Linked DNA regions of Struthio camelus. The main gene of each other region encodes a partner of the protein of the gene in region 4 in a complex. Links are inferred from orthologs where the notes say so. Each region holds a gene or a part of one and is shown on either strand. Other genes may lie near its edges. The genes, in order: CORO2A, protein zyg-11 homolog B, HDAC3 and TBL1X.

Evidence for each region.
Region 1: TBL1X (region 4) and CORO2A share a complex: the UniProt entries of both Homo sapiens proteins name them as parts of the N-Cor repressor complex. The link is inferred for Struthio camelus from reciprocal best matches to the Homo sapiens genes TBL1X and CORO2A.
Region 2: TBL1X (region 4) and protein zyg-11 homolog B share a complex: the UniProt entries of both Homo sapiens proteins name them as parts of the E3 ubiquitin ligase complex. The link is inferred for Struthio camelus from reciprocal best matches to the Homo sapiens genes TBL1X and ZYG11B.
Region 3: TBL1X (region 4) and HDAC3 share a complex: the UniProt entries of both Homo sapiens proteins name them as parts of the N-Cor repressor complex. The link is inferred for Struthio camelus from reciprocal best matches to the Homo sapiens genes TBL1X and HDAC3.

What each region holds. Positions count from the first base shown.
Region 1 is NC_090982.1:10,448,237-10,455,775, reverse strand, and holds the start of CORO2A (coronin-2A), read right to left. Parts: upstream 3,002-7,539; 5' UTR 2,679-3,001; coding exon 2,547-2,678; intron 1-2,546.
Region 2 is NC_090949.1:31,701,101-31,708,803, reverse strand, and holds the start of protein zyg-11 homolog B, read right to left. Parts: upstream 3,014-7,703; 5' UTR 2,996-3,013; coding exon 2,926-2,995; intron 1,659-2,925; coding exon 1,564-1,658; intron 1,102-1,563; exon of another isoform or gene 665-1,101; coding exon of another isoform or gene 662-664; intron 368-661; exon of another isoform or gene 36-367; intron 1-35. Other genes in the region: COA7 (cytochrome c oxidase assembly factor 7), read left to right, coding at 3,229-3,502, 3,586-3,726, 5,274-5,722. UniProt on the Homo sapiens protein: Serves as substrate adapter subunit in the E3 ubiquitin ligase complex ZYG11B-CUL2-Elongin BC. Acts to target substrates bearing N-terminal degrons for proteasomal degradation with the first four residues of substrates being the key recognition elements.
Region 3 is NC_090954.1:22,011,185-22,019,148, reverse strand, and holds the start of HDAC3 (histone deacetylase 3), read right to left. Parts: upstream 3,011-7,964; 5' UTR 2,917-3,010; coding exon 2,862-2,916; intron 1,034-2,861; coding exon 951-1,033; intron 1-950. UniProt on the Homo sapiens protein: Histone deacetylase that catalyzes the deacetylation of lysine residues on the N-terminal part of the core histones (H2A, H2B, H3 and H4), and some other non-histone substrates.
Region 4 is NC_090942.1:142,899,339-142,906,411, forward strand, and holds the start of TBL1X (F-box-like/WD repeat-containing protein TBL1X), read right to left. Parts: upstream 3,014-7,073; 5' UTR 2,883-3,013; coding exon 2,876-2,882; intron 1-2,875. UniProt on the Homo sapiens protein: F-box-like protein involved in the recruitment of the ubiquitin/19S proteasome complex to nuclear receptor-regulated transcription units. Plays an essential role in transcription activation mediated by nuclear receptors.

The DNA.
Region 1 (7,539 bases), on a different chromosome or scaffold from region 4:
CAAAATCTATGTTAGTTTCCCCCTAAGCCAGTTGCACCTCCCTGCAAAGCTTCTGGAGATTTACCCAAAGCCTTCAAGTCTCTCACTAAAACCTCCAGGCTGCCTGGGTACCTCTCGCTCACAGCACATAGACCTGCTCCATAGTAAATGTACTCCCCCAATGCTCAGACAACGAAGAAATATGCACAGCATCCAGGCATCCGGCACCTCGGATATCCTACAGACAAGTTCAATGTGCCGCTCGCACAGGCACCACAAACCAGCTCCAGAAACCAGCAGCCTGGCCAGTGCCAACCCACCCAGAAACAGACTCACTAGAAAACCTCAGGAAGCAGATCACAGAGGCAGGCAGCCCAAAATGCACTCATTGTCCAGATACTAAAAAACTTAACAAACGCAGAAAGGTTGAAAAAATCATCCACTTATTGAAATGTGCTCCCAAAAATCTGGTCACAGGGCACAGATAAACACATTCGAGAGACAGGCAGAAATTACCCACTGGCACAGACAGCGAGAAACCCAGCACATCTCCAGGTACCCTGACATCACGTTACTGAACTGGCAACAGGAAATCCCAACCTGCTACATACATAACCAGCAATCAGTCTGATCCACAGGTCTAAAGCGAGGAAAGTCCCGGCTGATTTGCGAGGCAGCCTGACGCAGCCGGCCGCGCAGAGGGCTGTGCCTCCCCTCTCCCCCGGCAAAAGCTTCCTGCACGCACAAGACCAGCACGCTCATGCCGAATTGCTTCACCTCTAAGGAAGGGAGGTTAGGAGAAGCCGAAGGCAGAGCCAGGGCTGGACGGAAGAACTGCCTGGCTCTGCATCCAGACATCGTTAGCGCCTGGCTCTCGAGCTTCCCTGGGCTAAGGCAGCTCTTCACAGGTGAGGGGGTTGGATTTGTTGCTATGGCCTAATAGAGCAAATGAACTTTAAATAATTTGCATTGATGGAGATACAGCTTGCCTGCAATAATGCTAATTCCACAAAGACAACTCCAGTGCAGATTAAAATACTTGTTTTTTCCCCAGTCTCTAAGAAGCAATCAGCAGCCCCCCACCCTGCCTCTTGAAGCATTGCTCTAGAGTTTCCTGAGATGCTAACATCCAAACAGGAACTCCCTGCCCGTCTCCTTCAGTTATCCCCTATCTCTGATCAAACCATGAAGGACCAGAGGGCACAGCGAGTGGGAGAACAAAAGGAACAGGGATATACCGGCTGCTCCTTTGTTAACCCACCAGGCAGCCTGCATTTTGAAGTTTAAAAGACAGCCAACATCCAACTTCTCTCCTGTGTTCTGCAATTTCTCCACAGAGTTCATTTCCCTTGAGCACCCAGGAGGCCAGAAGAGATTAAGCCTGTTTAGGCAAATTTTAGAGGGGTTGCAGCAAGCACGGTGCTTCGTTAGGAACCGCTAGTGAGAGGAGGACTGGGAACGACTGGGATGCTGCAGGGCTGTTTGTCCCTACTCCAGAGCAAGACAGGGAGGGCACCACTCCCTGCCGGGTGAACAACAACACAGAGCAAGGCTCTGCATATGGCTGGCTTTCCCAGGCTATCAGGGACTTGTTTATAAAGCACCGTAATCATCGCACATCCCCTCGCAACGACCTGCCTAGCCCTGGAGACGCAGGGTCAAAGCCAGGTGCACAGGAAGAAGCAATACGCCAAAGCTGTGCTGCTGAAGGTCAAATCCTTTCAAGGGCTTGCCTTGCAACCAGGGTACCCCTCGGCCAGAGAACACGGCCCAGATGTCCCTTAGGTGGCTGTCACCATGCTCTGTGCAAGATGCGACCTGCCTTGGCATCAAGCAGCCAAAATCCCCACGCCTGCGGCACAAGGGGGCCAAATGTAATCATTCCCTCATCCCCCTCCACACATACATTATGTTTCTCTCTATATCATAAGCAAAGTTACACAGACGTTAAAACTGTGCCACTTGTTGAACCAGCAAGCAGGGCTGACAGGAGGAAGTACCGGCTTTCCAGAGAGGCAGCATCCTGCTGACTCCAATCTGTCTCGAGCCAGCATGAACCCATGTTGCTCTGTGCATCTGCTATGCACCTCTGAGTTGAAAACAACTCTAAGCAGATGCCCCAGAAGCCAGTGAGCTCCAGCCAAGGGTTGGCTTTTTCAGTCTGTAACACTCCGCATAAAAGATCACCCTGCAGTTACCTACAGTAAAAACTCTGTACCATGACGTAGCTGGAAAGTGAAATTCCTGCCCAGGGGAAACATATAGTACTCCAACCATCAGCTATGTCCTGCCACAATGGGGAAAGCACCTATAGATGCCCGCACGACTTAGGGAGCAGAGCACAGGATGCTTCCCTCCCACATCGCTCCCACCAGCACTATCGCACATCTCTGTAGCTGGAGCTCTTAAGCTTCCAGAACAGTGTTTCCCTGACAGCTGCAGATTCAAAAATCGTGGAAGGGTTAACACATCCTCCCCTCCTCTGGGGAAAGCAGAAAGTCTGCTTTCTGGGCTTGGTGGGAAGGCAAGGGGGGCGCAGGGACCTCCATCTCTGTGCAAAACCTTACCCTGGCTGCACAAAGCAGGGTGGGGCCCTGCGGAGCATCACGCGTCCTACTCGCCCACCCAGCAGACGGTCCAGGTACCAGGCAAACGGGGCCTTTCCAGGACGGTGGGAGAGGCGGTCTGCCTGCCATCATCCCCTGGAGAGGTGCCTCCACGGCCCAAACATCCCTGCTGCTCTGTCCGGGATGTCGGACTGGACTGCTTGCAGAGAAAAGGCAGTTCAGCTGGGCCGTGGGCCGGGGTGCCCGGGGCGGCGTGGGGCGAGCTTTTCCCTCCCGACGGCGCCAGGCGGGGAAGGCGCAGGGAGGGCACGGCCGCTGCTCAGCGGGCAGCGGGGCATGGCCACGGCTAACGCCACCCGCAACCACTGCCACCCCCACGGGTGACCTCCTCCCCGCCACACCGGCTGCGGCAGGTGCCCGAGCTACACCACCCCCGGCGCAAAGCGCCCCCTCCTCTCCTCCACCCACCCACCCACCCGCGCGTGTTGTCCCCCGCCCCACGCGTGTCGCGGACGGAGGCAGCGGGGCCGGTCCCCCCTCCTCTCCCACCCGGGACCGAGGTCTCCTACCTCGGCGGCGGGTCGGCGCGCCCGGCCGGCGGCGCTCAGGGCGTGCACAAGGGAGCCGAGCCGAGCCGAGCCGAGCCGAGCCGGCTCCGCCCCGCCCCGCCCAGCCGCGCCCCGACAGTCGCGATAGTCGCGACACGCCCCCACCCCCCCCACTCCACCCCCGCAGGTTATCCATGCGAGGATCCCGCTGCGCGGACGCGCGGACGCGCGGACACGCGGACACGGACCCCGGCACCGGCACCCACCAGGGCGGCGGCGGCGGGGGAGAGGTCCCCGCCGGCGGTGGTGAGGTTCCCGGTCGCCGCCCTCCTGCCGACGAGCCCAAAGGAGCTGCCGGCTCGGTTTCCGACGGCTAAAAATGCACGGCGATTCGGGAAACATCGGGTGGCGCTTTGAGGCTCGTCTTGCTGCGAGCAGGAGAATGTGCTGGAGACCTCCAGAGGTCCCTTCCAGCATAACCGCTCCCTGAAGCAGGTCTGTCAGGGGAGTGCTGCTGCCGACCATGCGTACGGGGCCGTTCTCTGTCATGGAAAGCGGGGTGTTCACTTTCCTGCTTTTTAGGGGGAGTCCTCATGTAACTGGAGCAAAACGTCTCCTTTCCCTAGGCATCTCTGACCCAGCTCGCTCTGGGGTAGGTGCCCACAGCCCCCTAACACTGCGACCGCAACAGGTAGGTCCTACTGGAGGAGTTGGGTATATCTTCCTAGGAGATCATCCCGACAGTGTCAAGACTTTGCCATCATCTGCCTAGTGCGCTGCCCCAAGACCCTGCCGTAGTTCATACGGCTATGCCAGCATGTTTCTGTATCTTAGGCACACCGCGCTCTGCTGTGTACTGCTCCTTGAATGCTGCCCGCACCTGTGTGACCTTTATGAGTGTGCCAGCCTTAGCTAGCAGCTGCTGCCTTGCTCTGCCGTCCCTGGCAGGTGGAGATCTGCTGGCTCATGTGAGCCTAAAGCTTCATATATGCCCAATGGCTCCAGAGACCTTCCTGTGCTTGCAAAATTCACACTCTCTCTGGGGTGAGTTGGTTTCTTGGCACACTAGAAGCCCCCCTAGTACCCTGGATGAGGAACACGGCAAGTAGGTGGCAAAGCCCAAGATCAGTCAAAAGGGCAATGAGACTTGTTTAGCCAGGTTACCCACCCAACTAACATCTCAGGTCCTGTCTGAATAGAGCCTCAGAAACAGCTGGCTTTTCTCCACATCTTAGTGCCCCTAATCACAGGTTGGCCGTGGCAGCTCCAGGCTGAGACGGGGCATGACAACACTGCGAGACTGGGTGTCCACCACAGATGAGATGCTGCAGTTCAGGTGCATCTACACTGATTCTGCCGTGGCAAGACAGGAGCCCACCAGTGCCTTGGGGCAGCTGAAGTCCTTTACGGGAGGAAGAGCAATCCCACCTAATCCTTTGAGGGAGCTGAGCAGAATTTCAGAATTAACCATCGATGCCCAAGAGTGATCTCCGTGCTTGCTGCCAGCTTCCAGGCTGGGACAATCCAGGAGACTGAGGCAGTCACGCAGAGAAACTGCTGCTGAGAAGCACTGCCCATGAATGGAGCACAGGAAACAAGCCAGCTGCTGACACCAAGCCATGGTGCTTGTGTAGGAGCTGTATTCGGCTTGCCCTGCATACAGGCAATGGGAAGGCATCTGAAACTCCTTTGCACCCTCACCAGTATGTGCTCGTGTCTTCAACACAGGAGAAATAGCAGGTGCAGAGATGCACATCACCGCCAGTGCTTCCATTCAGAACACTGTGGCCTCACACCTGGATGTGGCTGGAGAAGATTGCTCCCCAGGGCTGACAGGAGGACAAAGATGTCTTTGCTTGGGGTTCTGGGTGGGACACCTCCCTCCAGACTGCAGCCCTGTCTGCTGTAGTTATCTCTAGCTCTGCTAGTCTTTAGGATTTTCTAGAGGAGTAATTACAGAGAAATAGGTGATGCATGAGTGCTGTTCCTCAGACCTTTTGTAGATGTTGGCCCTGGAACAAAGTGAACTGCTGCCCGTTCTGCTTTGCTTTCTTTAAGTTTGGATGACTGGGACTCTTGGTGTCTGTACTGGGGTGTCCTTGACAACTGGGATGAATCCTACCCTTTGGCTTTCCTTTCCTGGGACTGCTCGGCTGGCGATCCAACAGCAAGGGCCTGGCTGAGCAACTGCTGGTGGCAGCCTGTGTCCACAGAGCAGGCTTGGAACAAGAAACCCTCCAGGGTGACCCTGCGGCACTGTTCCCCAGCACAACTCTCCTAACCTGATTTGGCAGCATGACTAGCCCCATCCACAGAGCACCCTCACACAGCACTTGTTGTGCTCTCTAAAGATAGCCTCCAGCAGCCCCAAAGAAAATGCTGTTGTTTGCTCTTTCTGTTGCAATCCAAAAGCAAAAGTTGGAGCAATGTGCCCTGGAGCTCTCTCTTGCCTCATATCCCTAAGCATCAGAAATCAGGCTAAAAGCAGGGTAATGTGATCGTTAGGCTTCTACCCACAGATTGTCCAAAATTAATGACAGGTGAAAGAACACCACAACAGCCAGAAGAGCTCGTATGAAAGGGAGCTTGACAACAGCATGTTGTTCACCATTGTAGGTCCACTGATAGCTAGAAATGACACATAGCAGTACAGCCTGCTGCAAGCAGCCACAAAGAAGAGAGCTGGAAACCATTGTGGCTGCTCTGCATTGCAGGAGCTACCTCAGCGTAGTCATGTGCGTGTTATCCATATGGCTGCACCCCATACGTAGCTGGGTGCAGTTCCCATGGAGCAGGGTCCTGCCTTGTAGGGCTCAGTTGCAGAAGCAGATGAAAAGAGACAGAAGAGAAACTGCTTTCTGCGTGGTGATGCCTCCCATAACCCTAGGATGCCAGGCCCTGTGGCCATAGCCAGTTTGCAGAGGAAGTATCATCAAGCAGGCATACTCTTAAGGCTGTGCTATGCTAGCACATGGCCCAGTACATCTGCCCTGAAGAGAAGCTGCTGCAGCAAGCATCATACAGTGCATGATCCCAGCCTGCTGAGGAGAAGGGGCCTGACGTGCCTGGCTGTGGTTGGTTTGGATGGAGCCCTTCTTGGGTCACTTGTAGTAGTGGTATACGTATACCTCCCAAAGGCTGGCTGGGGTCAGATTAGACTGCCACTTGGAGGAAGCCTCTATTTAGTTATACCCAATTACTGTCACATTTAATGAGAATGTCCTTAGTTTTGCCATAGTTATTTCCAGCCCTTCAGATTTCAAGATTGCTGACTGTGTAATGTGTGCAGTGGCAGGTGGTAAGAGGTAGGGCAGAAGCTGGGCCCTCTCAATGCTGGCCAGCTTTAGAGACATTTAAAACACTGTTGCGATAACAGGGTCAAAACTGGAAGTCTTTCCAGAGTTTATGGCATTGGCATTCCCCCTTCATGTGCAAGGGTTTCCATCATGTTGAAAATATTAAATTATTGGAAGCTAAAGCAAAAAATGACAGCTGGTTTTAATTTCCTTTTGTAATTTTTCCTCCCTGCAAAATGTTACAGTACTTTTGTGCTAACAGAATCACTTTAAAAAGAAAAATTAAGGCATAACTTTAAGTAGGGGACTCTGATGTTGAGCCTGTATTACTTTTTCTGAAGGGACTTTGAAATGTACTGGGAGTCCTCTGTGTGGCTATGTCAACTTGTACTTTGCCTGAAGTCTCCAAGCTTCCTGCCAGCTTGGCACCAGAATGTGGCAAAGAGGTTTGTATTACAAAAATTAAACTTACAACCAGAGCAGATATTGATCCACCAGCTGGAATCTCAGTGCCAACCTTTGCACCTGGCAGGAAGCCATTGGTTAATAAGAGCAAGAAATCAGGACTTTTTATCACTGGTGCTGGACTGTGCGTCCAAAGTGAACATCTGGCTGCAGCGGGATAGGGGACCCCTCATCCCAAATGTGCTTGCTACAGTTAGTACTTTTGTCTTCCACTTGCTAATGTGGTGTGCTGTTTTCCTCTTTGACAAGCTGCTAAGCCTGAGCAGAAAGTGCGTGAGGGTATTCTCACGCTTTTGTTTCTAAGTGCAGCCCACAGCCTCTCACTGAACTGAGAGGGGGTGGAGGGGGTTAAATTGCCTCAGCGCTGCCACTATGGCACTGGTGTACCCTAGAAAGCCATTTGCCTTTTTGCACCTGAAATTTCCCTGGGCAAAACAGAGCTAACGTTCTGCAGAGAGCTCTTAACACCAGAGAATCAGGCAGATAGCTTTGGCTCAGAGGCTGGCATCTCCCTGAAGCAAGGTGATAAATAAGGCCTTAATAAGTCCGCCATGGAGGCAGCAGGTTGGCAGTGAGTGAGGAAAAGCTCAGTTTGTGGGACAGCTCCTGCTGCAGGGGGTTGTCCACCCCATCGTGGTCAATGCCTGGTCAATCAGCACTTCAGCTCTGTCCTTCCCCCTCGGC
Region 2 (7,703 bases), on a different chromosome or scaffold from region 4:
AAAAAAGTTTATTAAGGGATTAAATGAAACAGTACCTGTAATAACAAGGGAATTAAACCAGACAACCCAGGAAGCGCCTGCCAGTGCTTTACAAGCAAACCTGCACGCTCATCTCCCACGCAGGGCAGTGGGCAGAGCAGCACCCATACGCCCTGCTCCGAGGCCTGGCTTTAACGTGCAGAAACGGCTGTTTTTACCCGCCGGCTGCTGCAGCAGGGCAGCCAGGCCCGTGGCCCAGCCGGTGGCGCCGACGGCTCGGCTCTCCCCGCACCCAGGGGCTGAAGGGCGCCGGGGGGGGGGGGGGGGAGAGGGAAGGGCTGAGGGGCGCGAAGCCCCCGCTCGCTGTGGAGATTTCGCGCCGCGCTACGCCCCCCGCCCGCCCCTTGTGCGTGTATAAGCGGCGGCCGCAGCCGTCGCGCAGCGCGGAGGGCGGCCGAGTCCGCGCGCGCCCCCCTCAACGGTTGGCAGCGGCGAGGTGGGGGGGGGGGGGAAGAAGGGGAAGGCGCGCGCGCGCCCCGGCCTCGCCTCGCGCCGGCCTCACCTGCCCCCCCGCCTCTCCCTTCCCCCGCAACGCCCCGCGCCCCACAGCGCCGCCGCCCTCGCCCCCGCCGCGGATCGCCTCAGCTCCCCCCCGCCGCCGCCTCCCTCCGCCCGCACTCACCATGGCGGCGCGGCGTGTGCCGGACGCGAACGCCCAGCGAGCCGGCTCCCGGCGCGGGGCTCCTTTTTTTTTTTTTTTTTTTTTTTTTTCCCCTCCCACCCCCCGTTTTGCCTACCCCCCCCCCCGCCGCCGTCGGCCGCCGCCGCCCCGACCTGGAAGTGAATGTGGCTGAGCCGGCCGGGAAGCGGCGCTGAGCCCGCCTCCCTTAAAGGGCGCCGGCGTCAGGCGAGGGCGCGTCGGCTCCTGCCGCCAGGTGTGAGGCGGGAGCGGCGGCCTCCTGCGCTCAGCCCCTGTCAGCGCTTTTTCCTCGACGTCGTGTTGCCTCCGTGGCCGAGCAAGGACGAAAGGGAAAAATGAGATTTGCCGGTGAGTTTGCCCCTTGAGCAAATGCTCTTCCGTCCGCTGAGGAGTTAAGCACTTACATAGCAGCCCTTATCTGTGGGGAAGCCTCTCTCACCGTCAGGAGTCTGATGTCATCCTCACGGGTCGGCCTGCATATCTAAACTGGTTTCCTGCACAAACTCGTTTCTTACAGTAAAGTGAATAACACCATAGGTTTTGCTTCCTGCAAGTAGGAGAGCAGCTTTGCCATGAACTTCAATACCAAATAATTTCAGGCCTCACTTGCAGAAGTACATGAAGAGAAATACAGTTATTTTTGTGTCAGGATACAAACTAAAGAGTGATACCGTTACCCTGTCCAGGCAAAACGAAATTACGAAGATGTTATGGTTTAAACCTTTTATGGAGTTGCTGTTGTCATGTACAGCAGCTCTGAACAGCATTTGTTTGCAAACCAACACATAAATAATCATTAAGGAAAAGATACTAATTTATGTTTTTATCATTAGATTATGACAACACGTTCTACAAACAAAAATATTCTACAAACGCAATTTTACCTGTTCAATGACTTCTTGACAGCAGTCAGTTGTAGTCCCATTGTTTAGATTGGGGTTTAGATTGGGATGTCGAGGCAGAGAAAATAAACAACGTCCTTGGGATCAGACAAGAACAGAATCAAAAGTCCCCACGTTTCTGAATTTAACTGCTTAAAAAACTAGCCTGGTTAGAAGAAATGACTTATATAATTATGGCAACATAAATGATCTTAGATAAGTAAAGAAAGAGGTAGTATTCTTATTCTTAGTGCATTGTCTGTTTCTCCCACTTGCTAATGTCTTTCAGAGCTTCTAGTCTCTTTTCTTCTACACTTAATTGCAAATTCACTCCCTCCCTCCAACCCGAGTATCCCCACATACCCTTGTCCTTACTTTATTTCTCTCATTCTGTCTGCATTTATGATAGGAAATACCTTCCTTTCTCCTATCTGGGCTCAAACAGTGAAAGCTTTGAAGACACAGGCTAATTTCCTACTCAGTGCTAGTGCTTGGCCTCCCCACGGTACTCGAGAAGTGCAGTAGCAAGGGAAGCTTGCTGTGCTGCTGCAGTCCTAGGATAGAGTTTGCTCTGTCGAGTTGGTCCTGCCACAACAGCGGCATCAGAAACGGCAAAGACGAAATCCCAGCAAGAACAATCTCTTTGGAGATTTGTACTAGCAAACTCAAGAGTTTCTACTGCGCCTATGCAAATGGTCATCTTCCAAAGCCCTTCTGCAGAGCAGAAGAGGACTTGACAAGAAAGTTCTCAGGTGTCAGTCAGCATGGGCCAAACAATATATATTCTCTTATTTGCATTCTCACAGACATGTTAGTGCTTTCGCTTGATACATTTTGAAAGAAGATTTTCGTTATTTGTGGCCAGTGTGTGATAACTTCAACCCAAATACTGAAAAGTTTGGAAAGTTTTAAGCAAATAATGTAGCAATAATTTTAACAGCTGGTGTATTTGGACTTTGGTAATATGTCCAGCAGGTGGTGCCATCGGCCCGACCTACAGTAGTCCTGGCAGTTCGCTCTGGTTGTTAATGGACAATCTGTTTTTTTTTCCTATGGAGCCTATGCACAAGATTTAGCTGAGTTCTGTATATTCCCAAAACTTGACAACTCTGTGTTATATTACTGAAATCATTTGGGACAAAATATTGTCAAGTATTCTTTAAAATTAATTTTAACTCTAGGCCGTTCGTCATGTCCATTTCTAATGTGCTGCTACAGTCAGAAAGTTCAGTTTGTGCTCAAAAATGCTGGAATTGGAAAGTGTGCCATACTTTGTGTAAGTATCCTAATATCACATCTTGCTTGAGCTGTAAATTCAGCCATACCTAGAGAACTACAATTTGTTATGTTTTGTCAATTGCTTACCGATCTCTGGGCGTTCTCGATATCCCTGGCACTCAGACATACTAGGAGGGAGGATTCCCATCAAAAGCATCTGTCAGAATTTTTGCTGAAGGAAGAAAAAGGAAGAATTGCTGATCTAAAATTGAGCTGACCGTTATTTAGCTGTTAATCCAAGACAAAAAAGCATGCGGGCACCGAGTTGTGGAATGGGTAATAAAGCCCTAGCTTCCAGGTCATGCAAAGTATATTGATGTATACGCCACAGAAAAGTCTTAACTTATGGCTTTAAATATCGTAAACGAAACCTCAGAAATATGAATCCTAATGGCACAAAACCCAGCAAGTAAAATCCGCCGAATGCGTTACTGCCGAAAATGCGTAGGCATCCCCCCGCCGCAGGCGGGGAGGGCTGATCCGCGCGGTGCCCCGCTCGGGGCTCCTCCGGGCGGCCTGGCATCGATGTCTCGGCGCTCGCGCGGCGGCCCGGCCAGCATGGCGGGGCTCGTCAACTTCGAGGACGAGGAGGAGGTGCGCGGCTACCTGGAGAACCTGCACGTCGAGTACAGCTACCAGTGCTACCGCGAGAAGGACCCGGACGGTAAGCGGTCCCCGCCGGCCCCCTCCCCCGCCCCGGGGCCCGCCGGCCGGTGTCCGGCGCGTCCCCTCACTGCTGCCTTGCAGGCTGCCAGCGCCTCGCCGACTACCTGGACGCCGTGCGGAAGGACTTCGTGGCGGCGGCGCGGGTGCTGCGCGACAACTGCGAGGCGCACGGGCACAGCGAGAGCTGCTACAAGCTCGGGGCCTACCAGGCCATTGGGAAAGGTGAGCCAGGCCGTGGGGGGGGAGGGGAGGAAAGCCTTTTTTTCCCCGCCCTCCTGCGAGACCCGGCAGAAGGCCCTTTGTTACCGTTCAGGCCTCCGGTTGCCTCGGAAACCCTCGTGCTTGGTGCCGTCACACTCCTGCCTGAGCAGCTGGTGGCATGGTCGTGTTGCACAGTGGTGAATGTGTGGCAGGTTCTGCTTTTTACCTGCAGCATAGAGGGTACCAGTCTGTGGTGGCCCTGCCAGGAGTGTGAACTCCCCTGCTGTAAGGGCCACGGGAGCAGAGAGAGGGTGCCTGAATACCTGTGGCGAAATGTAGCTCTTATTTTTCAGGAGGTGCTGAGTACCTGCATTTCCTTCTGACCTTGAAAAAGAAAATAGGTGTCCTTCCTCTTTTATGGCCGCACGATTAAAGCGAGAGAAGGGTGGAAAACTTTTTTGTTCTGTAGTTTTCAGACTTTTTCAGTCGATCAAGGGTCATTGGCACTTCCCTGCAATATATATTTATAAGTTCATGCTCAAAGTTGCAGCCTCGGATCAGTCCTAATAGGTTTCTGTGACTTGGAAGACTGAGGAGAAAGTAAAAGTCTTGGCTGTTGTAATGGAACTGTAGCAACTCCTAGAGAGGTCTGCAGCATGCATTTGTATTTCTGCAGCTCGGGTTAGATTTAGGAGTGTTTATTGTCCCAAGTTATCTGCATCTTCTAGACTGTGACAATGCAAGGAGTAGAAATGTATGTTTTCTAGCTTAGAAAATGTTAAGCTATTTAAGATACTCCTTTTACTACCCAACTAAATGTATTAGATATAGTGTAAAAAAAAAAATCTTATTTTGAGCCCCGTTTACCTAAAGTACTTTCCTCTGAAGAACCAATTATAAGTTACGTTTAATTACTGAAACTATAAAAAACCTGAACTATAAACAAATAAATGTATAAGTGGTAGGTTTATTCAGTGCTGAGTGTGTCCTGTTTTTAAAACTTGGATTTCTTCCTGTCTGGTTTTTTTTTTTTTTTCCTTACAGAAAATAAGGAAGAAATAAACTTACAGACGGATGTCACTGTTTGCAGATACACAAATGTGTAGGCCCCAAGTCTGCCAAAGAAGTATCTGCTGGTGCAGTGATTTGAAGCAATTACATTAGTGAATCTCCTTGCAAATAACAAAGCAAGTGAGGAACGTGATGTTGTTACTGTAGTTTTAAAAAATAGTAACAGTTTCAGTGTACATATGATTATTCTGGCAAAAAATACTTAGTCTAGTGTAAGTTACTTAGGTTAGAGGTCTATGTAAATAGTGGAAAGAGGTTTGTTTGTTTTTTTTTTTGCCTACATGACTACTGTGTAGTGGAACAGGGTTCCCTAATTTGAGGGCATTAGCAAACCTATCGTAATTGAGACAACAGTTGTGTCTCTGAAGTCCTAAACGTAGACTGTAGCATCTCATAACGAGGAATGTTGTGAGCATTGGGAGACATGGTGCAAAGCAGAAAGTTTCATGGTTATGCAGCATGTGCTTACTGTAATCTTTTGGTTTCTTGGCTGACAGGTGGACTCGCGCCAGATTTGAAAGCTGCCTACAACTCCTTTATGAAGTCATGTGAGAAAGGTGGGAAGAGGTCAATAAAGGCCTGTCATAACGTTGGGCTGTTGGCCCATGATGGGCGAGTAAATGATGATAAACCTGACCCGGTTGTTGCTAGAGACTATTACACGAAAGCCTGTGATGGCAATTTTGCTCCTAGCTGCTTCAACCTCAGTGTAATATACCTCCAAGGAGCACCTGGCGTTCCTAGGGACATGAACCATGCTTTGCAGTATTCTCTGAAAGCATGTGAGCTGGGTCATGTGTGGGCTTGTGCCAATGCCAGTCGAATGTACAAAATGGGAGATGGCGTTGAGAAGAATGATACCAAAGCAGAAGCTTTGAAAAACAGGGCAAAACAGTTGCATAAAGAACAGAAAGAAGCATCGAGTTCTTTAACGTTTGGGGAGTAAAACTGTCAGTTGCAGTTCTTAAGACTGCAGTTTTACTTGTCAAGTGAACTTGTTGTTTAAATCACATGGGCATACAGTTTTTACTCTGAGTAAATATTCTGTAAGTTTTTGCATATACAAATAAACATATGTTTTGTGGACGCAACAAACATGGTCAACTCTGCTGTGCCTTTATCCATTTTTAAATACATATGTTTTTAGGTGCATTGCTTAGATTCCCCCCCCCCTTTAAGGAGGGCAAAAACTTCTGGTCTTTTGGAAGTTTGTCCCTGTGGTTTCAAGCGTGGAGGGCTCTCCCTTGTGCGTAACACTTCGATATCAAGGCTTGTGCTAGGTCAAGTTCTAACACAAAAAATTGTAGTTGCGAGATAATTCAAACATTCAAAACTGTACCCACAATCTTTCAAGCACCTGTGGAACTTTGATAATGTGCACACGTGGACAGTCTGCTCTAAGGCTACTTGGTACTAGGATGGTTTGAGAAACGAGTTGATTCTCTCACTGAAGGTAACGTTTGTTGTCCTGAAATGATATAAAGACTTGCTGACTTACGTGCTCTGTCATCAAACTCTCAAAACAACACATATAAAGAAGGAGAAAAAAGAAATACCTTGTTCTGTGGAGAAGTACTAATTTGATATCCTACTGAGGTTTTAAACTGTATGTTTAATGTCATAATTTCGTCAGAATTTCATCTGAGAAGCTTTAATTTCTTGAATCAGTCTAAGTTTTATAGGCTGTTAGTGTTAATTCTTTTAATTTTACAAATTGTTATTATTTGATTGTAAACTAACATTGTGGAATTGAATTATTGGATATACTTTGATTCCTAAATAATTCAGCATGTGAATGGAGTCAAATCAATAATCTTTTGTCCAAGAATAACTTTAGTAGTAAAACTTTTGATTCAGGAAAAGGGCCAGCTGTGAAAGCTACTGCTCGGGTTTTTTTGTTTTGTTTTTTTGTTGTTTGTTGAATACGAAGAAACTACATTGGAACACTTCTTCAGCATACAAGTAAAAGCTGTTTTCTGTAGAAGAGTATGGTTTTCAGAGGGAGTTGTACTAAGCTGCTGTCTTAAAAGGAGCTCTAGCCTATGAAATTGATATTTGTTGGGCAACAACCTGTGAACGTTGGAGCTGTGTCAGTCAATATGAGCTGCATCCTTGTGCGTTCATTTTTTTTGAAATATCTGCCTATGCAGACCCACTCTGTATGCGTGCCTGTCTGTCACGGGCCGGGAACACTGATTTGCCCAGGGGATTTCAGTGCAAACCCGGAAAGTCTCCTTTCTGCTTACTTTCATGCTTTGCTGTCATACTCGGTCTGATTAATGGTTTTTTGGTTCCATCTGCCACTTCATATATTCATTTACATTTCTAAACCTTGTGATATGAATCTCCTACAACACTGACCTTAGGGTAAAAAGCATCACGCAGTTGTTTGGTGTGATCTTTTATGTACAAATTAAAAATAGTATTCCTCAGTCTGAAAAAACAAAAGCTGTGGTAACTGACGGTGAAAATACCATCTTTTATTCTAAGAGTTCACCTACAACAGAGTTGGCATACAGCTGATGTGGGATGTGGCACTCCTATCTGAGCATTGGATTCTGTGCTCAGTGGCTGGGTTTGTGATAGATGCTCTGAAGAACTGTTAGCAGCTGGTAGTAATGTGGGTTTGCCAGTCAGCAGTGAAGGTTACCCTTGAAGGAGCAGAGGGAGGTACTGAATACTGGTTTGTGCTACAATCTTGCTATGGAAAAGAAAGTCAGTTTACTTGGCAAGTTAGCCAAATGCGTGTATTTGTGTGCTTCTCAGTGTGCCTAGCATTTCAGCTTGCACACAGCCTAGCAACAGCTGAAACTAAAGAATAATTTCTAATTAATTTTTATCACATCTTTTTGGAGGAACAATTAATTCAATAGTTTAGTTTATTTTCTGCTACCTTCTGTTTAGAAAAGCTGACAATATGCTAGATT
Region 3 (7,964 bases), on a different chromosome or scaffold from region 4:
CTATGCTATGGGAATGGACAACAAAATGAACAAAGATTCTAGCGAAAGGGGCCTGGTTCAATTCCGCCTGTCCCAAGTGAAGTAACATATTTCAAATTAGGGGTACCACAGATTTGTAGCCATATTCTGCTATACTCAAATTAGTTCCTTTCTTGAAAGATAAGAAGAATTAAGTTTGCTTTTTGGTAATCACTACCTGCTAGTCACATTTTATCAGGTTTACACAAGTTAGACTTCAGGAAAATAAAATCTTTCTAATCGTAATGAGAGCAAAGCACTGAACTAGATTGTGTGAGCTGGTTGGGCAATAAAGACTTTGAAGACCAGGCTGGACAAACATTTAGCAGGGATGAGATAGGATTAGTGAATCCTGCCTTATAGCATCAAGATGAACTAGCTAACCCCTTGGGTTTTCTTTTCAGCTTTACTTCTCTATGATAACATGTAATCCCACAATGGTCTCTGGGTCCTTCCTAGAAGCAGCTATGGACACTGACGTTTCACTCGTTTCTCACCGTCACAGCTTTAGCTCCAGGTATGGTACTGTAAGCACAAGCTTTAACAAGGTGCCAACAGCTAATGATGACCTCATGTTAGTGAAAATGGCCAAGACCGCTTGGAGCCCTGCCTGTAACAACTCTGTTACCTGCTGTGCCACAAACGGGAGCTGAACAAGAAGCAGCAACATGAGAAAGCCCTGGAGAACTTACTAACATAGCCCAAACCTTAAAATAGAGGCTACTATTTGGAGTTAGTGGCAAAAGTGAGCCTTGAAAATTAGGATAGAGCATGGATCTCTAACACGTTTCCTGTCTGCCCAGGGGTAAATAGCTCCCTCCAACGGCTGTTTGGCCACAGCTGCCTCCCACAGCCGTGTTTCTGCAGGGGTAGGGATGAGGGTCCCACATGCCCTGCCAGAGCCTTGCTGCCCCCGGAGAAGCGATGCTTACGATCATCTTCTTGTAGAGCCCGTAGTGCAGGACTAGGCTGTGGGTCAGTGCCAGGCGATGCGGCTTCATGGGGTGCCCTGCTCCTGGAAGGGAAACAACGTGAGGAGTCACAGACCTGCACCCCTTGAGCCACTTTTCTGCCAGGGGGTGGAGGGACTAAGGCCCGTGAGCCATCCCTCTATGCTGGGCCTGGTGGGGGAGAAGGAAGGGCACCAGCTCCCTGAGCATGAATCAGTGTGGGGGGTATACCAGCCCCCCAGGCTGGGGGTATACTGGCATGCTAGGCTGGGATGGGGAGAAACATGGGGAGAACTGATCCTCCAAGACAAGATTTAGGAGAGGGAGGGGACCCTAAGACCCTCTAAGCCAGGGATGGGGAAGGGAGAGATGCACCGGCCCTCTGACTGATAGAGGGGTAGTTCTGACCCCCAAGCAGGGATGAGGAGTGTACTAGCCCTCAGAATGGGGAGAAGGAGGGTTGCACCAGCCCCCCGAGCTAGGATCAGGGTGGCAGGAGGATAAAGGCTCTCCAAGGGGGAATCTAAAGGGACAGAGAAGCTGTACCAGTCCCCTGACTGGGATGTGTGTGTGTGTGTGTGGGGGGAGGGGTTGTACCAGTCCCCTGACGGGGATGTGTGTTGGGGGGGTAGTTTTACCAGTACCCTGACCGGGATGTGTGTGTGTGGGGGGGGGTTGTACCAGTCCCCTGAGTGGGATGTGTGTGTGTGGGGGGGGGTTGTACCAGTCCCCTGAGTGGGATGTGTGTGGGGGGGGGGGGCTGTACCAGTCCCCTGACCGGGATGTGTGTGTGTGTGGGGGGGGTTGTACCAGTCCCCTGAGTGGGATGTGTGTGTGTGGGGGGGGGGTTGTACCAGTCCCCTGAGTGGGATGTGTGTGTGTGTGGGGGGGTTGTACCAGTCCCCTGACCAGGATGTGTGTGTGTGGGGGAGGGGTTGTACCAGTCCCCTGAGTGGGATGTGTGTGTGGGGGGGGGTTGTACCAGTCCCCTGACTGGGATGTGTGTGTGTGGGGGGGGGTTGTACCAGTCCCCTGACTGGGATGTGTGTGTGTGTGGGGGGGTTGTACCAGTCCCCTGAGTGGGATGTGTGTGTGTGGGGGGGTTGTACCAGTCCCCTGACCGGGATGTGTGTGTGTGGGGGGGTTGTACCAGTCCCCTGACCGGGATGTGTGTGTGTGTGTGGGGGGGGGGGGTTGTACCAGTCCCCTGACCGGGATGTGTGTGTGTGTGTGGGGGGGGGGAGTTTTACCAGTCCCCTGACCGGGATGTGTGTGTGTGTGTGTGGGGGGGGGGAGTTTTACCAGTCCCCTGACCGGGATGTGTGTGTGTGGGGGGGGGGGAGTTTTACCAGTCCCCTGACCGGGATAGTGTGTGTGTGTGGGGGGGGTTGTACCAGTCCCCTGACCGGGATGTGTGTGTGTGGGGGGGGGGTTGTACCAGTCCCCTGACCGGGATGTGTGTGTGTGTGGGGGGGGTTGTACCAGTCCCCTGACCGGGATGTGTGTGTGTGTGGGGGGGGTTGTACCAGTCCCCTGACCGGGATGTGTGTGTGGGGGGGGGGGGTTGTACCAGTCCCCTGAGTGGGATGGGGGGGGTGTCGCACCGGCCCCTGACCAGGGGCGTTGTACCGGCCGTTGGACCAGAATGTGCGTGTGCGGGGGGGTGTGGGGGTGTTGTGCCGACCCGCTGACCAGGCTGTGCCCGGCGGGAGCGCCGTACCGGCGGCTGACCGGGAAGGGGGGGCGCTGGCCCCCGAGCCGGGACCGGGACCGGGGGCGGGGGGGGGGGGGCACCGGCCCCGAGCAGCCCCGGCCCCTCCCGCCGGGTCCCTGCCCGCTCCTCAGGGCCCACCGCCGCCCCCGGCCCGGCCCCGCGCCCCGCCCTGCCCTCACCGTAGTGGAAGTTGCCCACGTCCGGGTCGTAGAAATAGGCCACAGTCTTCGCCATGGCGGAGAGGCCGGGACCGCCGCGCGCGGGCGCACGCGCGCGCCGACGTCATCGCGCCGCGACCGGTCGCGGCCCGAGCCCGCCCACCGCCGCCGCGCGCGGGAGCCGCCGCGCCGGGGCGGGGCCTGAGGGGAGGGCGGGGCTCGCCGAGCCCTGCCGGGCCTTGGGGGCGGGGCCCGGTGTGCGCAGCCGCGGTCGTGCCCCTGAGCCCCGGCTGCCCCGTTGCGTGGGAGCGGCCCTCGCTGCTCCCCCCCCGCCCCGGCGGCCCCCAGTCCCCCTCAGCTGCCCCCTAGTTACCCCAGCTTCCCTAGTCCCCCCCAGCTGCCCCTAATCACCCCTCAGCTGCCCGCCAGTCCCCCCCAACTGCTCCCCAGCCCCCCCGGCCTCCCCAGTCCCCCCCAGCTGCCCCCCAGTCCCCTAGGTTCCCCAGTCCCCCCCAGCTGCCCCTAATCACCCCTCAGCTGCCCCCCAGTCCCCTAGGTTCCCCAGTCCCCCCCAGCTGCCCCTAATCACCCCTCAGCTGCCCCCCAGTCCCCTAGGTTCCCCAGTCCCCCCCAGCTGCCCCTAATCACCCCTCAGCTGCCCCCCAGTCCCCTAGGTTCCCCAGTCCCCCCCAGCTGCCCCTAATCACCCCTCAGCTGCCCCCCAGTCCCCTAGGTTCCCCAGTCCCCCCTCAGCTGCCCCCCAGTCCCCCCCAGCTTTCCCCCAGTCCCCTAACTTCCCCAGTCCCCCCCAGCTGCCCCCAGCGACCCCCCCCGGTCACCCCACGCCGGGCTCCCTGGCTGCCCGGGGCTCGGCCCCCTGCCTCCGAGGTGCCGGCGGGACGTGGCGGGCCGCAGGCAGGCCCGGGGCGCTGGTGCCGGCCCTGCTGCCGTCGAGGACAGCCGGCGGCTGCCCGCGCTTTCCCCGAGCGGGAGCCCGGGGGGCCGGGGCTGCCCGCCCGCCCCTGCCATGGACGGGGCGCGAGGGCTCGGGGTGGCAGCCCGGCGGCGGCGGGGCTCAGCCCTTCGCTGGGGGGGTCCAGGGGCCGCGCGCCGCGCCGAACGGGGGGCGCTAGCGGGCCGGGGGCTGCCGGCGTGGCGGGGACGTGGCCGAGCCAACCTCAAACGTCCCACCCCGGCGCGGCACAGCCGGGAAAAGCCCGCAAGAAATGGGTCCTCCTGACCTCTGGCAGCGTTCAGAAATAATCAGCCCGGGTTGGCAGCGACTGGGGACAGGGAGGCACCTCGAGGCAGGCAGGGCAGCCGGAGAACAAAAGCTACGGGGAAAATTGAAGTGTATAAAAAAAACAGCGACCAGGAAAGGGGAAAAACCCCTAAACCTCCCCTGGAGAACAGGCAGGGTACACGGACACCTGCCCCAGGAGCAGGAGACCCTGGGTGGGTGAAGGAGGTGGCAAAAAACGTGTTATCACTGGAAAGAAGAAAAGAGGAAAGCGACGTGCGGCGTTTCCCAGCGGGTCAGAAAAGGGATTAGCAAGAGTGTGAAACTGGCCTTCTGTGGGGCCGGCGAAGGGCGACCTTCCTCCGGCTCCCGTGGCGGGGACGTCCCCGGAGCCCGCAGAGAGCTGGCCGCAGGAGGAGAGGGAGCAGGGGCTGCGGGAAAGGACCGACTTTCCACAGCTGCTGTGGGAAAGGACTGACGGAGAGGAACATCCCGAGAGAGAAATTAGAAGAAAAAGGGTGGCCTCTCGCTGGGGAGCACAAGAAGCAGCTTCAGATGGCGCTGATGGTTTGCAGACAGTCGCTGTCGCTGCGGCGATAGCCCTGCGCTGGAGACGGGATGCCTGGCTCTTGCAATGTAGTCCTCGCTTTGCTTCAAAGCTTTCTGATGCTTCTCTATTTTAAATTTCTGATGAGGCAGTCCCATTTTTCCAGGGCTAACACCACTGGAAAGGAAGACACAGGGAAACGCAACGGGCAGGAAGAGCCTGGGAGACCTAAAGTAGACGAAAGACTAGCCAGGAATTTTGCAACAGCTTTATTTTTGCAGCTAAACCACAGACATGACAAACAAAACATCCTCCCACGAACCCAACAACAGAAACTACTTTTCTAGGTCAAGTTCAACCTCACTGAGAGCAGAAGAGTTGAGGTCAGCAGGGAATCGGTCCTGCAGGTTTCCTGTGCAGCTGGGAAAATCTGCCCTCGTGGATCCCACTGGCAAGAGGTTGGAGATGAAGGATGCTGCGTTTGAGACATGATGGTCACGGACACCTGCAGTATAATAGGTCATGGCAGCTTCTGTAGGGTATCAGAGAGGAACAGGGCAAATGGGCAGCCCCAAAATTGGGGCTCCCTGCGGGCATGGTAAGAGGAGCAGATTCAGAATAGAGAGCACTACGGATTTGTACCGGGAGATTCCCCAGCTTCTCAGCAAAAGCATGTTCTACCTGGGTAATAAACATGCAGAAGGGAAATTGGTTGGCTTGTAGTAGCTCTTTCCCCCATGCCACTTGGGGCTGCATGTGGCAGCAGGCCTCGTGCAGACGGTACCCGACATGCACCAGACACAGCGTGCATTTCAGGGCCCAGGAGCCTAGTGTAGCCCCAAGTCAAATAAATGTGGACTTTAGTGGGCTAGATCTAAGCAGCAAGGATGTAGCAACAAATGATTCAAGTCAGCGGCGCTCTGCTCCCCGGCTGGGTTTCCACTCCAGCTGACGTCTCACCGATGGCTGATCAGTCAGCATGACGGGCTGTTTGCAGATCAGAAAGGTGCAGCGACCAGATAACAACCCCACGGGTTTGTAGAGCTACGTAAACGGCTCGGCTGAGCCACAGACCCGCCTGGCTATGGGAAAGGAGCAAATAGGTAAGAAATGCGTTCCTTCCTTGAGTATATTTTGCTTGCATGGAGACTTTGCTAGCTGAATTCACTTTCTGAAAATCAGTAACTGTTCAGGGCATTTTGACAGGTATTGGAGCACTGCAAAGAAGTCATAGGAGAAGGATATTTTTAGATACTCTTTGTGTGCAAATAGCAAAAATACGTTGCATTTTAAAGGCCATTAGCTTGCTGGGCACATTAGAAAGTCTTAAATGGTTTTAAGATTCAGGGTAATGTTTTAGGAAATGCAATTTAGGCATAGAATTTGCACAGAAATAGTGGCAATTTCCATGCTGAGCATCATGGTAGAGACCCCACAAGGAGCCTGTCCACAGGAGTTTCAGAGCCTAGAAATCTGCCCTGTTTTGTTAACTGCCACGTGGACAATCAATACGGCCAGAGCGGATGATCCACAAAATGGGTGCATTGGCATTGTTTGTGGTATGACGTGTATTATAATCACTGTAGAGAAGCCGTGATAAAAGAGCAGAAAAGCAGCAATATGGTGATAAATTGGGACTGCAGCTTGTGGGATGGTTTGTTGCATGGCGCGATGGAGCAGCGTCTCTCTGGGGAGCTGGTCACCCGAGGGGACGATGCATGTGGCTCATGCTCTCCATCTCCCTCCCTCCCCCCCTCCCTCCCCCTCCCCCAGTAACTTTCAAACCTGATGGCTTAAAATTTTAAATTTGAAATTGCTTCTGGGCAATTTCACAAGAGGGACAGAAGCCTCAAAGATCCTGAGGTTCCTCCAGGATTTATATATGCACCTGCCAGGACAGTCCACGTGAGTGACTTGGGGAGGAAAGGCAGGGGGGATCTCAGCGGTGAGTGCAGCAGGCAGGCAGCAAACAGGCAGCTGCCTGCCCGGGAGCTGTTGCTGAATTGCTGTTGGCTCCAGCGCTGTCTGATCTCGTGCTCTGTCTTAACTACTGGGGTCACAGAGGATGGGGGGAAGGAGCTGAGGCTGTTGCAGGAGTAGGTGGAAGGACAGGGGAGAGCAAGGACACAAATCCAAGGCAAAGCAGACTCTGGGCATCCTGCGACTGGTGGCACCGAGTCTTTGCTTCGTTATTTGTATTCCCGAGTGCCCAGTACAATGCGCTGCAGCCGGTGCGGCTCAAGACCCCCAGGAGGAGGAGGAAGGCAATCGACTGAGATAACGGAGCTAAGGAGCTCATTGCTTGTCCTGGTTCAACCTCCTACACCCCAGGCAGAGCCAGGATATGTCCCAGGACAGGCTGCTGTGCCTTCCTCCTTCTCCCCATCATGTGCCTCCTTGGTTTTGGAAATGCTTAGACAGCTGAGGCAGCAGGAGAATGGAAATCTTGTCTTGCAGGAGGAGGTTAAGTGAACTGGGCTTGTTTAGCCTGGCAAAAATGAAGGCTGAAAGGGGATAGGATTGCCATGCAGAAATACATCGGGTGGGCGGAAACACAAGAGAGGAGAAAGAATGATTTATTCTAAAGGACAGCGTGGGCACGAGAACAAATGGGAAAAAAGCTTACCATGACTACATTACCCTAGGGCTTAGGAGAAAGTCCAAACTGCAAGGTCCTTGGCCCAGTGTCTCTTCAGAGAAGCGTGAACTTCTTCTGAGAAGAAGAAGGCAAGGCGTGAACTGCTTCTGAGATCTTGATCAGCGGAGACTCATGTGATGTTGTAGTTTGTGGCAGCTCGCTAGACTGTGGTCAGGAGACTTCTCCTATCCTGTGTCGCCAGCAACGCGTGGCAGGATCAGGCCCAAAAGGTCTCCCACTGCCCGTGGTCTTTTCTTTCCGTACTGGGACTATATTATGGCCGTGGCCTGTCTTCCAGCCAGGATAACAGACAGAAGAATGGCACGTATGATGTGCTGTAACCTGGTGAAGTCATGGGGATAAAAGAGAATCTTGGGCTCCTGAGTGTTACTTCCATGAATCGCCTGACCGCTTGTGGATAGGAACGAGGGCTCTCACCACCGCATAGATGGCTGCAAGGGGCATCTAGTCTGAATGCGTTGTGGGTTGCCTCAGCAGCGGGCAAGAACAAATGTATGCCAACACTTCCCTTTGCTCACCTCTCTTCCCCATCCACATGGGCCAGTTCAGCTCTGAGGGTCTTTGAGATGTAAGAGGTTCAGCAGTTGTGTTATTTCTGCCCTCCTAACTTTGACTGTGTTCCTGATAGCTTCTTACCCATACCAAATGCCATGGTAAGGGAGCTGGTGTCTGTGGGAT
Region 4 (7,073 bases):
TCCCCACTGGAACACCTCTTACGCTAATCCATTTATCAGGCTGACAGACGACTGAATCACTGGTACTATGGACCCATTCTACCAATATTTCGCAAGTCAAACTTTGGGCTCGTTACTTATCCAGTATATTTTTGCAAAGGAAAATCTACATTATTTAGAGCGGGGAGAAGAAGAAACAAACACCACATTCATCTCTTCCCAGTACTGAACAATGTTCTTTGTTTGATTAGCCCACGAAGTGTAATGCTGGAGCTATCAGGCAGAAAATGCGTATGAGATGTACCTACTAGGGAACTGTATGATGCCAAAAACAACAAGGAAATGTGCAAACACTGGAAAAATTATTGAAAGAGTTCCAGGCAACCAAAAATTTTGGAAAGTTTGCACCAATTGCTAGTTTTAGGGGTATCCCTTCTGCAGATGGTCTGACTTAGCTCTCAAGCAGAAATTTCTGCATACTATTAATTTCCTGTATATCCTTATGAATGATAGATGACAAAAGAAATTTTAAAAAAGGTTTGGGCTATATGGAGATGGGCATCAGTTGAACAGCGCACTGCCACAGAACTATGCATTCTGCAAGCTGCTAAAGAATTCTCATGAAGCTACAAATAAATGTTCAAAATTTTATTTCTCCGGCAGAAGTTTCCAGTGGTGTAATGTAAGCTATTCTTTCATTTTCTCCCTGTGGCTTTTGTTTTCAGATAAATTCCAATAAACAGACCTCTGCAGGGGCTGAAGTCATTGGGACTGCAGGTGTCTTCCCAAATGCGTCCCACTGCTGAAATGAAGACACTGTAAAAATACTAAATTCTCATAAAATGCTATTACTCTTTTAAATAATGAAAAAAAATCTCTAGGATGTCATACACTTAAGTTTCTTCTATCCCAAGGTAAGGGACAGGAAATAATATGCGATAAAACTGGTAACGGCCTGTAACATACAGAGAGATATAGAAAAGGGGTTTTGAAAAGGTGCTCTCCTCTTAGGCCCATTTCACTGCAATCAATAATCCATATTCTGGCTTAGAATCATCAGGAACAGCTGCAGTATTAACACTGTTTTATTTGGTTATTTCCCCTGGATGTTGCAATACAATAAGAAATAACTTACTGTAGTATTTTTATAGGAGTCTAAGCAATCTACTTGTTTTAAAGCTGATGGTTATCACTCATGAATTCTCTTAAAAACAATACTACAAGGTAAAGTTAACCCATGCTCTATTTTTTTTTTCATTTATTTGTACAAGAAAAAGCTTTTTAAAAGAAAAAGCTCATAAAAGAAAATTTCCAGTACAACAGGGAGAGCGGGAAAGAAGTCTGTCTGTGTTTTGGATTTTGTTGCACTCACCAAGGGAGAACATGGATTCTAAATTCAGAGCTAAGCACTAGGATAAGCACACAAAAACTAGAAAGAAATTTTACATAAGTCCAGTTACCGTCAGCTGAATTCCTCAGGAAATGCTAACCTGCTAAGAACATGCAAAAAAACACCACTTCACTCTGAAACAACTAAAACATGGTAAAAAGTTCAGGTTTACATATCTTCCCATTCTGTCTTGTTCTATCCATCTACACACTCTCTCATCTTTTAACCTGAAAAGATGGATATCAGTACAAATTCAGTTCCAAAGAGTGACTACTTAAATATCTAACAATGGAGCTCATGACTGAAACACAGTTATTCAGGGATCAAAACCAAACTGATTTAGCTGTAAATTAAGAAGCAGAAAGATGAGAGACAGCTAGCGTTTCCCAGAATCATAGGCTGACCAGCAATCTGAGAAGGGGGTGAATGAATAGCAGCTACTTGGACATTACCAGACTTGATTTCTGAAAATACAAGCACAGGTGTTTCCACTGTCTGGCAAAATACCTAACAGGTTATTAAAAGCTAAGCTGTTGGAGAGCCGGAGAGTTCTTCATGTGAACCCAGGAGCAGCAATCTCAATTTCACGTGCACTCTCCTCCCACTCCTTCCCTCCGTCTTCAAACTGGAAAACTAATTCCAGGGACAGTGACTTTTGCATTAGCCAGCCAACTTCTCTATCATTCAAAGCTAGCCGCTTTCTTCTGAGCTTCATTTCTTCCAGTTAGTATATTTTACAAAAGAAGAGAACTGAGCAAGGTCTGCCCCAAACCATATGAACCCCCAAACTAGTCAGTCATACGTTCACATGAAACACAGTATTTCACACTCCTGTTTCCAAAGACTCCTTAAAAAGGCAGTGGTATTAAACAGCCTAAACAACAGATGTAACCTAAAAAACATTTTGAAGTATAAAGTGCTGGAAAACCTTCTTCGGGTCATTTTTAATAAAACAGAACCTGGTCATCAACTTAGTAAGGGAGATACTGTGTTTGCCAGGCAGGGAATGGGACACTACCTTCATTTAGATGCTTTAAGAAGAAGCTTGCAATATTGTCAAGGAAGTCGAATTTCCTGGTCGCTACTTCTAATTTGAAATGATTCTTTATTTCTTGAGGTAAATACAATCTCTTTAAAGTACCTCCAAAATTATTACATAAACAGGCTCTTCCTTTTATTTTAAGCCAGGGACAAATATACAGCAGCTTTATAGTTAAAGACTTGCACTAAATTCTTTTTTTTTCTTAACAGAGGCTGAAAAAAATGCTTGAGGAGAAAAAAGGAATCATCTAAGAATAAAACTTGTAACTGAAGTCATACTGCAAATATACGGTAGTTACTGTACACTCGGAGGGACATGGCAGGCTAAAAAGTTACATACTATAAAAACGTAGAGGGCATTTATAAGTGCCAATAAATGCCTCTTCCAGAAAGTATGTCAGAAACAACCCAATACACTGATCTGCCAACCGAATGTTCCTATGTAATGTCTATTTGAAAACTTACCTTTCATTGTCAGTAACTATCTTCAGCATTAGTAGATGCTGAATATTTGTGCAAGAAGATTTTTGTGCCCTCTTCGTTCCTGGGGTTTTTCATGACCTGACTGGACATGGCCCTGAGGAGCTGAGTCAGACCCCAGAGTTGGCCCTGCTTTGGACAGAAGGGTGGATTAGAGGTCTTCCGAGGTCCCTTCCTCACTAAATTATCCTACAATCTTACAGTGTTAATCTCTCTGTATTAGAACTATATGTGTCTGCTGTACTGCTTACATAGCAAATAAGGCGCTTAATAAGAAAAGGAATAGCACAAGCTTGCATATTGAATTCCGACAGATCTTAAAAATACCAAACAGGAGATGCTCTTTCTGATCATACAGAGTTCATGCTGCTTAAGCAGCTATAACAAAGCTTAAGATTTATGACTGAAGACACAGGAACCTTCTGTTATACTACAAATTAGCTTTCAATTTTACCTTTTTAGCTTTTTCAGAGCTATAGTAGTAAGAACTATTTATATTAAATGAGATGATTCTTACTACCTCTTAAACTATGTGATTTATAACCCTTCCCTCAATTAAAATGCATGGTATACACTAACAGGTTACACTGTGTAGCTATCAAAAATTCACCTGAGAACACTGGTTAGACAAGTACACTAAATTAAGTAAAAAGTTTATCTGCAGTAAATAGGGCTGTGAAAAACCTGAGCATTTTGAAATACGCAGACAAAAAAAACCCCATATATCACACAGACTTTGTGGTAAAGAGAACTGGTCTGGCAGCTTCTTGGTCCAGAGAACCCAATCCTTCGAGTTGGCTAGCAACTTAAATATTTCAGTGTATTTGAACACTTCGTTCACATTGAACATAACGTAAGAGTCTGCAGTACAAGTGAAATTCCAGAAAAAAACAGAATACTTTCAAAATTAGCACCTGCGTGGTACAGTAAATAACTTCTCTAGGTTTCAGTCCAGCTGATTTGTTAATCTGATTAATCTGATGGTTGATATGAGCTGTCTCATATCTTGTTACTAGATATGCCTAATAGGAGTAAACAGGGATACATACCTCTGCACTGACACCACGCTCACCACTCTTGACTAGTATACATGAGAACACTTTATTTGCATAGTGAGATTGAGATAAATCCTTTTAATGAATTTGACTAAAGTATTATCTGTTAATATATGTGACGTTCTTTGTATTAATGCAATTCTGATACCACAAACAGTACGACCTAGCCATCTTTGTTTTAATTTTCTCATGTATTTTAAGAGATGGAAAAAGAGATGAAATAAAATAAGAGATACTCAGGCTAATAAAGCTCATATATTTTTAATGACTCTCCAGTTTGTACTTTAGTGAAAGGACACACATAAAGAATAGTCAGGATCCTAGTACTAGCAGTAACTAGTTACCTAAATGATTTAGCCAATACATTTTTTATAATCCGTCTCATGCTATGTTCAGACATAGTTAAGTTTGTAAAGTATGTTCTAGAATCATAATGATAACTGTACACTAACTTTATATAATAAATTCTTCTAGCTCTGTTCAGCAAGTATTATGTCTGTTTTTTCAAATATGAAAGTAAGAAATTGAAGTATGTTTGAAAGCCATATAGATCAGGACAATAATCTGAATTACAACGCAGACTGCTTAAAGTCTTATCTACACGTACTGTGCTAACATAACATTGCACCTTCATGTAAATTTTAGAGCAGTCAGCTTTCAAGACTGCTTTTGTGCAGTCAGTATGTGATATTACTTTTAGTTAGTACTAAAATGTTATTTTTCCCAGGATCTGAGAAGTGTGACTACTGTCGCATTCAAAACAAAATGGAAGCAGCTATGTCAGTCTTTTAATCTTGGGAACTGAACTCTCTTTCTACAAATTGAGAAGAATATGAAAAGCGAGAACAACTATTTACACAGAAAGATACCTATGTTTACTGTGCTGTTTTAAGTGAAACAGAACCTTTCTATTTCATGATGGAACATGCCAAGGATATTCACACCACTTAACTTTGATTCCAGTTTAAGTATATGTATATGGATGCTGATGCCTAAAGCTGGGTTTTATGAATATTCAGTCTTCATTATAAATGAGTGGTTCCGTTCTAGTACGTTAACAGAAGAAGGACCTGATAGCAAAACATTCAATGGAGTAAAAAAAGAATTACACCGATGATATGAGCAACAAAAAAGGATCATTAAGAGCCCGTTTGCTTCTCAGTTTACAGATTTTGTTTGGCTTTGCAATTCAGTGTTTTAGTGAGGTGCAACATGTTACAGCCACTTTTTGTTCTAGTCTTTGAAATTATTTAGGAAAATAATGTTTTAGTACAGCTTTACTTCTCAACTTACAAGGCAGCAAAGACGACCAAACGTTTGACTTCTCCATTCTGCTGAGCTACGTGAACAATTCTCAACTGAGTGACACGAAGCATGGGCTGAGAGGCTGAGAGATTCTGCTTAGAAATTTCGGGGGACAGGCATCAAAAGTTAAATTTTATTATCAAGGTAGCAATAAGCCTAGCAGCTAAATTCCCCTGCAGTTTTTATCCTCTGTAGTTTGCAATTTCTGGCTGCAGTCATGCTACTTGTTCTGACTGCATCTTCACTGGTGTAAACTTATTCCCCTGCTTCTCGTAATCACTCTTCCCTTAACGTTGCTGCCGAACATCGCTGCCCCTCAGTATCTGTGGAATAACTGCTTGGATCAGAATGGTTCTGATTAAAAGAGTTCAGAGAGTTGGTGTTAAAAAGGGTTTAAACGAACCTAGATTACAGTGAATAACTCAGGTCAGGGAGTGCCTACGTGATCGATTAAATCTCAGGGGTGCAGTAAGGAACGGTGGGGGACGATAGCCTGTTCAGCCAATTCAGCTGCCGCCAGAACAGCATGTGGGAAACACGCAGAGAGACCTGTCCTCCTTCTCAGGTTTCCTTTCTTCCTCCCCCCGCCATGCCTAACACCCAGCATCCCTGAGTCCCTGATGCACACTTCCAAGCTTCCTCAAAACACTTAGCTGCCTACTAGTACCAGGGCTTAAACTCTTATAAAAGTCAAAGCACATCGATATTGTAGCTATATACATATGTGAAAAAAAACCCTCAGTAAACCAGCAACGAGTTTGAAATACAGTCATCTTGGTGTCCTCAGCTCACCTTGTTACTGCACCTCCAGTTATTGCAGCACATACGGCATGTAACATCTCCCACTGTTTGGAGACTCCCCCTAAAGGTGAGCCATATGTTTTGCAATACCTAGACACAGCAGGGGAAGAGAAGGAAATCTCTGCAGCCTTAAGGCAGAATTGCTTTGATTTCACTGCTTTGTGTCCTGTCTTTATTTTTCTTTTAATGAAAGATTTAGCATTTTAATTTATATCGTCTAAGCCTACAGAAAAAAAATACACATGCTGGGGTGTCTGGGGGGGTGGGGTGGTGTGTGTAATACCTAGGAAATCTCTTGTGTTATCTGTCTGTATAACATTACCTTCCACTAGACAAATATATTTTTAAACAGTCTGGAATCAAAACAACATTCTCAGCATTCAAGACGATCTGTCATCACTGCCCATTTGTTGCCCTCTAGGTTTCTCTCAGCTGGCAAATTTCCCATTTAAGGAATTATCAGATTCATCGCTTAGACACAGCAGCAAAATAAAATGAAAGGCTGGATTATTCTGGAGAACTCGTATTTTTCATTCAGTGTATAAAATTCAGTGCATGAAAACTGAACATAAGAGCAAATGGAAACAATCTCTCTCTGACTTCACATTTCTCCCTCACTACACTCTCTGCAAAATCTAATTCTGACGAAGATGCCGCAACATTTATATTACGTGTAGTCTTTATTTCTTTAAAAATGTTTAATGCCACATATTATGTTAACCTGTTCTGGAGACCTGAACGCTATGTTCACAGGCAATGTTTCTTGTTCTGCTGCAGCTCTAATAACGCTTCTGCTTCTGTATATTGCTGATTCTACTCTATTTTACATAAAGATTGACTAATTCCTATGTTGCCATTTCCTCACATCCTATTTTTTCACAGAGAAATAGCAAGAGAAGAGAAAGAAAATATATTAAAATGAATAAATTGCAAGTTTTCCATACCAAGAAGATTCAGGATTTACTTGGCTGATGGAGTAGCTTGAATGTCAGAAGCTGTGCCGCAAAGCCATGCTTGCCTAG